2 linked regions of the Canis lupus familiaris genome follow. The protein of the gene in region 1 interacts with the protein of each later gene in a biochemical or structural test. Links are inferred from orthologs where the notes say so. Each region holds a gene or a part of one and is shown on either strand. Other genes may lie near its edges.

What was found.
Region 2: the proteins of SLC9A3R2 (region 1) and SLC26A3 form a complex in vitro, tested with the Homo sapiens proteins (2 studies listed by BioGRID and IntAct, with this or other methods). The link is inferred for Canis lupus familiaris from reciprocal best matches to the Homo sapiens genes NHERF2 and SLC26A3.

The regions. Positions count from the first base shown.
Region 1 is NC_049227.1:39,357,108-39,361,710, reverse strand, and holds the start of SLC9A3R2 (Na(+)/H(+) exchange regulatory cofactor NHE-RF2), read left to right. Parts: upstream 1-1,387; 5' UTR 1,388-1,480; coding exon 1,481-1,693; intron 1,694-4,114; coding exon 4,115-4,315; intron 4,316-4,603.
Region 2 is NC_049239.1:13,058,775-13,062,886, reverse strand, and holds part of SLC26A3 (chloride anion exchanger), read right to left. Parts: intron 2,443-4,112; coding exon 2,290-2,442; intron 1,868-2,289; coding exon 1,785-1,867; intron 1-1,784. UniProt on the Homo sapiens protein: Mediates chloride-bicarbonate exchange with a chloride bicarbonate stoichiometry of 2:1 in the intestinal epithelia. Plays a role in the chloride and bicarbonate homeostasis during sperm epididymal maturation and capacitation.

The sequences.
Region 1 (4,603 bases):
GGCTTAAGTGGCTTTTAGGGGCAGCAGCCAGGGTGTGGACACCCAAGGGGCTGCGGCCCAGGAGGCTGCCCGGAGGAGAGCCCAGTGCTTCGGCGGGGGCTGGGCGCCCAGACTGAGGGCACTGGAGAGGGGAGAAGGAGCAGCAAGGAAGGGACCTGAGCTGAGCCTGCTTCTGCCCCCATGGGGCTGGTCAGGCTGAGGGGGAGACCACAGGTCAGCTGTCTTCCTGTATCTGAGGCTGAGAAAGAGCCCCATGGTAAATAAAGTGTGGACTTGGAATCTCACAGAGGTGCCTATGAGGAACTGGGGAACCTTGACTCTCTAGAGCTCAGTTTCTTGCTTTCTTTTTTTTTTTTTTTTTTTTTTTTTTTTAAGATTTTATTTATTCCTGGGTCTCCAGGATCACGCCCTGAGCTGAAGGCAGGCGCTCAACCCGGAGCCACCCAGGGATCTCCCTAGAGCTCAGTTTCTTGATTTGCAAAATGGCCTGAGCACTCTAGGGATGTTCTAGAGAAAGTGTACTCAGAGGCACAACGGAGTTTAACCAGATTTTCTCCTGCCATTCTTGTCGGGTTGGGGGAAGGGGAACTCACGCTGAGCATGGCTAGATGCTAGGGGAGGAGAAGGATGGAGGGAGGGGCAGAGGGGGATCACCGCCACCCCCACCTCAGCTCATGGGAACAGCTTCTGTGAGCATTGATCACAAGCCAGAGGGCAGAGGCCAAAGTCCAGGGTACATTTCATCTCTGGGATGAGCAGGGGCACAGGTGAGGGGCCCTGGCACAGAGAGGTGTGCGTGGGGGAGGGGGTTGTGTTTAATAAACCCGGGCACAGATAGGCACCATAGGTCTCCCGGGGAGAGCCGCGGAGTCCCCTAGAATATGGGGGTGCTACCTTGTAACTCCCAAACTCCCCTTTTTGCCTCGTGGACCATCTTGGGACTGTGTGGGGCCAAGGGCCGCTCTGAGTGCAGGAGGGATCCAGATAGGGGGACAGCGTGGTGGGGGGAGGGCGTGTTCCCAAGGGTGCTGGGCAGAGCTGTGACATTTTTTCCTTCCCTCCGGCCCCTGCGAGAGCCCGCCTCGCGACCGCACACAGTAGGTGCTCAATACATGTTGGTGGACTAGGAGGCAAAGGCGGCGGCGCGGGGAGGCTGCCCGGAGCAGGGCGGGGCAGAGGGGTCCCTGGGCCCCGCCCCCCCCCCCCCCCCCCAGTCCCCGGGCTTGGCGGGGCGCCCCGGAGGGCAGGGCCAGGCACGCCGGGCCTCGGGGCGGGGGCGGCCCCGCGGAGGAGGCGGGGAAGGGGCGGCGCGGAGGCGGCGCCGCAGCCGAGCCCGAGCCCGAGCCCGAGGCGACGGGAGCCGAGCGGGAGCCGCCGAGGGCGCCGCCAGGTCCTCCGTGCCGCCCCCCGCGCCCCGTGCCTGCCCCGCGGGCGTGGGCGCCGTGGCCGGTCCGCGGTGGGCCGGGGGGCCGCCGGCGCCATGGCAGCCGCGGAGCCGCTGCGGCCGCGCCTGTGCCGCCTGGTGCGCGGGGAGCACGGCTACGGCTTCCACCTGCACGGCGAGAAGGGCCGCCGCGGCCAGTTCATCCGGCGCGTGGAGCCCGGCTCGCCGGCCGAGGCGGCTGCGCTGCGCGCGGGGGACCGGCTGGTCGAGGTCAACGGCGTCAACGTGGAGGGCGAGACGCACCACCAGGTGGGTGCCCTCCCGGGGCGGCCCCTGCGCGCGGGCCTCGGCGCGCGGCGGGGGCGCGGGGCTCCTCGGGGGCCGGCGGGGGCTGCGCGGGGTCGGCGGCCCGGTCTCCTCCGTCGCCCCCACCCGGGCGGCTGGCTCCGCAGCGCAGGGCAGCCCGGCGGGAGGGCCCGCACTGCGGCTCCTGGCTGGGCCCTGGCACTCAGTCCTGCCCAGGCCTCGTGTGCGCGGAGCGGAGGCGGCAGGCGCCTTGGCGGGGGGCGGAGGGGGGGGCGGCGTCTCCGTGCCTTGGCGGCCCTGGGTGCTTTCCCGTGTGCGTACACACGTGCTTGTGTCCCCAGCTGGGTACGGGTGTGTAAAGTCCCCCTGGGGGTCCCCTTCGGCTGCACGCATCTGCCGGGGTGTCCCTGAGGGGCGTCACGGTAAGGGCACACCTGTAGGTGCCCGTGTCAGGGAATGCGTGTGCGTGCTCATGTGTGCAGGGGCTGGACTGTGCGTGTGAATATACAGGTCCACGCCCCTGGGTGTGTGCACGTGTGTGGACAGATCTGCATGCGGGGATGGGTGCATGTGAGCGAGGCTCTGTATGTATGCCGGACTCTGTGTGTGTGTGTGTGTGTGTGTGTGTGAATATACAGGTCTGCATGCCTGGGTGTGTGTGTGTGTGTGTGCATGCCTGCCTACGTGTAGTCACCAATGTGTGTTGGCAGGCCTATGTGCTAATGTGTGTCCTGGCTGACGCTGGCTGGGTGTCTCAGAGTCGCTGCTGGGGGCAGCACATTGCTCCCCTTGGAGGCTGCCTGGCCCTGCAGGGGCCACTGCCACGGTCCCCTGCCCCTTGCAGAGGGAGGGCGGGGTTTGCGCTGCAGGTTCTGCTCCCTGGGGACTATCTCCCAGTGGCTTGAATCCAGCCTCCCCCCACCCCTTCTGCTCAGGGATCTCTGTGTCCTCCCCAGCCCCCGTGAGCCTGTGGCCTGTCTGCGTGGCCAGCCCTGGGACCTAGAGACCCGTAAACTGGTTCTTGGCCGGACCGGCAGCTGCCCTCCTGCTTCCACCCCTGCGGCCCCTGTCTATCCATCTGTCTGCCTTCTTTCCGTCTTCCACCTAAAGTGTCAATTGGAAAAAGCTGTTTGCTGAAGGAGGGTGGGGTGTGGGCCAGAGGTGTTGACCTGACTGACCACAGGGAGGGGCTGGCAGAGTGGCACCTGGCCTTAGTTTAATGGTCACAGCCACCCTTACCCCGGGAGCACCTGTTTCTCCCAGGACCCCAGGTGCTGGTTTAACACACAGAGCCCCACTGTCTCAGGAGGGAGGAGGTGGGTGCTGGCACCTTTGCCTCCTAGTCCAGGAGTTCCAGCTCCCATTTTACAGATGAGGAAACTGATACTTTCAGATATCAGGTGTCTAGCCTGGGTCCCACAGCCAGGAAGCAGCAGGGAGCTAGGGTCCTCCTTGGCTCTCACCAAGCGGGGGGGGGCAGGGGAGGGCCACCGGGAGGACAGCCTGGTTCTCACTCTCCTATCTGTTGACAGCTTCTGCCGAGCGGCTGATGGGGGCCCTCTCCACCCTCCCCCAAGACGTGGTGGGGGCGGGGGTCTTGTCCTTCCTACCCCAATGCCCAGTGGGCACGGCTGCTCCTCCCTGCAGGGTGCACCCTGACATGCGTGCTCCATGGTCACCCACGTGCTCTAGAGACTTCACAGACCCGGCACAGACAGGCAGATGACCCCAAGGCCACACTTGTCCCACAGGTGGCCTCCCCCTGCCAGTCTGGACCCTGCTCACCAGGTCGCGTGTGGTGCCTGAGCAGGTGCCACGCCACAGGAACCAGGCACAGGTGTTCGTGGTCTAGAGGCAAACGGGAGACCCGGAGGCAGGGGTTTAGACATCCACACTTGATGACGGAGAAGAACGGCAGGGAGCGCAGCCACACCCAGACTGGGACCTAGAGAGACCCCTCGCTCCCTCACCCAGACTGAGACACAGACCCCGACACAGATGGCTGCACGCAGCACACACAGCCGTGCGCACACGCACGCACATGCACGCACATGCACATGTGCACACACGCTCACACGCTCACACACTGAGAACCCGAGGCTTGGCCGCACACCATCTTCCAGACCAGCTGCCTCCCCCAGCCTCCCGGCCTCTCCCGGACAAGACCCTGGACTGAGGCCAGTCCCTGCAGTGACCCTGTAGCCCTTGCCGCCCTGTGTCAGGAGCCCTGGGTGAAGAGGGAGGGAGCGGCCGCAGCCCTGGGGGTGGGGGGCGGGGCCCGCGGGCCTCTCGGTCCAGCCGCCCACCCCTGGTAGGCCAACCGCCTGTCCGCGATCCTGGGCCAGGCCTGGGCAGTGCCACTGTCCATGTGCTGCCCCGAGTGCTGACGGCTGACCTGCCTCCTTCCCCACCTGCCCGGCCCAGGTGGTGCAGAGAATCAAGGCTGTGGAAGGACAGACTCGGCTGCTGGTGGTGGACAAAGAGACGGACGAGGAGCTCCGCCGGCGGCAGCTGACCTGCACAGAGGAGATGGCCCAGCGAGGGCTTCCGCCCACCCATGACCCCTGGGAGCCGAAGCCGGACTGGGCACGTGCAAGCAACCTCAGCTCCGAGGCGGGCCAGAAGGTACGGCAGGCTGCGCAGAGGGACACCCTGGCTTCTCCCAGAACCTCCGTGCCCGCCTCTTGGGGACAGGCAGTCTCCTGCTCTGGTCACCTCCAGAAGTCTCTGTCTCCATCTCTTCTGCCTCACAGGGCCTCTGGCGACTACCCTCTTGGCTACTTGGGGCCACTCTTTCGGCCCTCAGCTGGTGTTCTAAGCCAGGTGGACTCAGGGCAGCCCGGCTCTGGTCCTGGCCCCATCCCCCTCCCTTCTCCCCAGAAAGCCCGTGAGAGCTGCTGGACCTAGGAGAGG
Region 2 (4,112 bases), on another chromosome or scaffold:
ACTGGAGTGGAAAAAGCATCTAAAGAGCCTAGTATCTAATTTAGATGCTAACTTAGTAATAAGGCCATGTAAATGGTTATTGCAGGGCAGGTGCTTAAGTATGCATGTAGCTTATATGAACACACTTGATCCTTACAAAAATCCAATGTGATAGCTACTATGTTTAGCCCCCTTTTTATAGCCAAGGACATGGAGGCATAGAGTTTAGTTATTTGCCCAAGATCAAGAAGTAACTCAGAATTAAGTCCCGGGCACTCTGCCTCCAGAACAGGTGAGCTTGCCTACCAGGCTACACTCTCTCTGGGAGTGTAATGATTGATAAATGTGAGTTACTCCTTCCCCACCCCGCAAACACTGTGAAGAGAGGTCCCTTGACATTCAAGATTTATTTAACCCCCAAAAAGTAAGTAAAGTCTCTAAGATTGTAACCCAGTGATCTTATGTTTATGTTTTATTTACAAAATCCTTTGAGTAAGATCCTCTTTAATTTTATATCTACCTATCTGTGTCTATCTATGTAGTTTATGTCTCCAAAGACTTTTTAAATAAAGTGTAATCATTTGCAAGTTGCAGGGTGGAGAGAAATCCCAGAAATAGTGTTTCAGTTTCAGACCAATTCCTTTTTTTTTTCAGACTAATTCCTATTTAAAAACCTTTTAAATGAAAAGTGGTGCTTGAGATTCATTAAGTGTAACAAATGAATATCTGCTGATCAAAGTATTTTTGCTTTCAAAAGACATATATTCGCTTTTTAAAAGAATTGGTTAAAGTCAATGATGCATTTAAATGCTGGTTCCTGGAATTCTCAAATACTCCTTAAGCAGGGGGAGGGAGGGAGGGAGGGAGGTCTTTTGTTTGTTTGTTTTAAACAGGAACACAGGGCAGCCCAGTGGCTCAGCAGTTTAGCGCCGCCTTCAGCCCAGGGCCTGATCCTGGAGACCTGGGATCGAGTCCCATGTCGGGCTCCCTGCATGGAGCCTGCTTCTCCCTCTGCCTGTGTCTCTGCCTCTCTCCCTCCCTCCCTCTTTCTCTCTCTCTCTCTGTGTCTCTCATGAATAAATAAATAAAATCTTGAAGAAAAAAAAAAAACAGGAACACAACCTGTCCTTGGTAAGCAAATTGGAAGAAATTGATGCTCTGCTCTGAGGACAGAGAGAAGAAAGCACAAAACTGGGCATCTCTCCTCAATCCCATAAATGCAATGCAATCAATGCATTTTCAAAGTCCTTGCATGAACCGGACGTCCCATCCTTCTGCAGTGTTCAATGTCGCCCTGGCCTTGTTTTGAATTTGGTCACGAGGAAGGACAGAGCGTGCTTATCCGGATTGTTCAAGCAGTGGGCTACGGGTATTCCTTCTGCGTCTCTTTTGAACTGTCAGAACTTGGCTCAGATCACCTCAAACAAAACACTACATATTGTTTATAGTAATTTATGGACAAGGAAATCTGGTTGCATTTGGTTCCTTTTTTACTTTTTTATGAAGAGAAGCAGGCAGGTTTGACTTTTTTTTTTTTTTTTTTTTTTAACTTTGCTTCGCTTTTACCTGCCTGTGAATCCCTGCTCATCTGGTTGGTGTATTCTTCTACAAGGACAGACTTTCTGATAGTAAGAACTGCAGAGCCTTTGTGGCTCCTTTCTAGAAAGGGAGTAGCACCTTCCTGGTCCTCCCAAGAGGCAGGGAGGGATATGGGCTGGATGGATGCATTTCGGCTTGCGGTCCTCCCCAGCTACTGCTCCCTGTCTAGTCAGTGCTTGGAGACACCGTCAGAAAGACACACTTACCCTCTGTTCATCTCCCCAACCACAGCCACCTTAAACCTGTTTTCGAAGTCAAAGCCATAGGACACACCTGTTGCGATCACAGTCTGCAAAGTTGCAAATTGCCCAAGTTAGAAATTTGAGATAAAACTCGCAGTCTTCTTAGATCAGAATCTCAAGCCCAGGCTTTGCTACTCTTGAAAAAAGTCCTGAGGCCATTCTCCTGTGCCACCAGAGTTAAGGACCGCAGCCCAGAGTTAAGGACCGCAGCCCTGAGGGGTCTGCCAACCTTTCTGAGGCCTTGCTCTCTGTGCCGTCCTCATCGCAAGTGGAGAGGATGAACCTCAAGTCACCAGGGGAAGTCATTAATTCAGTACAAAGAGAAAGCCATGCTAAATCTCACACCCAGAAACTGCAGAGATGGCATCTGCCCCACTAAAACTTCCTGATTTGCAAGTGGTGAAGGGTTTGTGACATAGAAACAGGAGACTAGTGAATTATGAAAGAGAGTCTTAAGATGATCAGTTACCATGATGAGTTCAATGGGGATGGGCACTGGAAGTTTGGCTTTGTAGCGCTGATTTATTTCTTTAACCACAAAAACAACCAGGAGGATAATCAAGGATGTCACAAGGTCTGCAATATTAGTCTTCTCTATTTGTGTGAATACGGAATTCAGTACCTAAAATTATAAAAGTGAAAAACAGCCAAGTGCTATATTTTTTTTCTTTCTTTTTAAGAACCTCTTTTGTTTTTACTTTTTACGACCTCCCCCCACCCCCATTTGAGTATAGTTGACACACAATATTAGTTTCAGGCGTACAATATAGTGATTCGACATCTCTAGACGTTATGCTGTGCTCATCACAAGTGTAGCTACCATATGTCACCATGCAAGTCTATCACCATGTCATTGACTATACCCCCTATGCTGTGCCTTTATTACCGTGACATATTTATTCTATAACTGGACTGTATCTCCCACTCCCCTGTACTCACTTTGCCCAAACCCTCCACCCCCTCACCCCTCTGGCAACCATCAGTTTGTTCTCTGTATTTATAGGTCCGATTCTACATTTTGTTTGTTCGTTTATTCATTTGTGTTTTTTTTCCCCAAGTGCTCTATCAATGTATAATTTGGATGCAATACTTGATTATTTCCAAACAGATTAAAAGAAACATTGAGGCAAGAAGGACTGACATAGATGGAAGAGTGATTATTCTGTGTATGTTATCCATGAATGAGTAATTGTAGACGCTAACATGGAGAGATGAGAAGGGTAAGTGAGCACAGCACTGGCACCACGTTCGTTTAGAGTTGCTTTTGGCATTTTTACTGGGAATCTCCTTGGCTGGTGTCGAAATTCCCTGGATACTTTTCACATATTTACAACTGGTGTCTCCTGCTCTTAAGTCTCGTGGGCCATTATTTTACAGTCAGCATCATTGCTATATCCAGAGAATAACCTCTGTTCCCTGATAATTTTCTTAGCATGTATCTCCTTAATTCCCGGCCTTTATTTTTATTTTTTAGGTTAATACCTTTCACAGTTCTTAGTTTATTCTCTGTGCCACTTTTGGAAATTTGTTTCCTGGCTAATGGTACACTGTTTATGATCTTAATTTTTGAAGCTAGTTGGATTCCATATCCATGGGATCTGATAGCTCCAGTAGGCCCAAACTGGATCTCAGATTGTTCTTTGAACACTCCACTTCTAGACTAGCTCTGGATGGGAGTGAGAGAGTGTTGGTTCTGATATGGAGCAAACGCTGTCTCAATTCTCAAAGACTGTCTTGATAGAAGCACCAATAAGTTCGAAATTGATAAAAGGAAGGAGATAACAAAGATCAGAGTGGAAATTAATGATATAGAGACTAAAAGGACAATAGAAAAGATCAATGAAACTAAGAACTGATTTTTGAAAAAGAAAAATAAAACAGGCTAACCTTTAGCTAGACTCAGCAAGACAAAAAGAGGGAACTCAAAGTCAGAAGCACTACGAACACTGTCGTTCTGCAGCACATCCTCTGGAAGAGGGAAGAACCACTGTCCTATTACGTTTTGGCTAATTTCCTTTTGCTTTATAAACAGGGAACCATAAAAGAGTCGGAAGAACCTCACTTTTAAAAGAACAAGGCCTGCTTTTTAGAAATAGGGAAACTATCACTCGTTGGCACATTTCTTTCACAATAAGATTTTGAGGAGATTTTTGAATAATGGGACAGGATAGTAAAGCCTTTAATAGTGAACTTCGATTTTTTTCTTTTAAATAATGCTTAAGAGTCAAATCTCAGAGACATGATGCTTAATTTGCATTGTTCGAATTAGCCGGATGGTAGGTGTGGTTGATA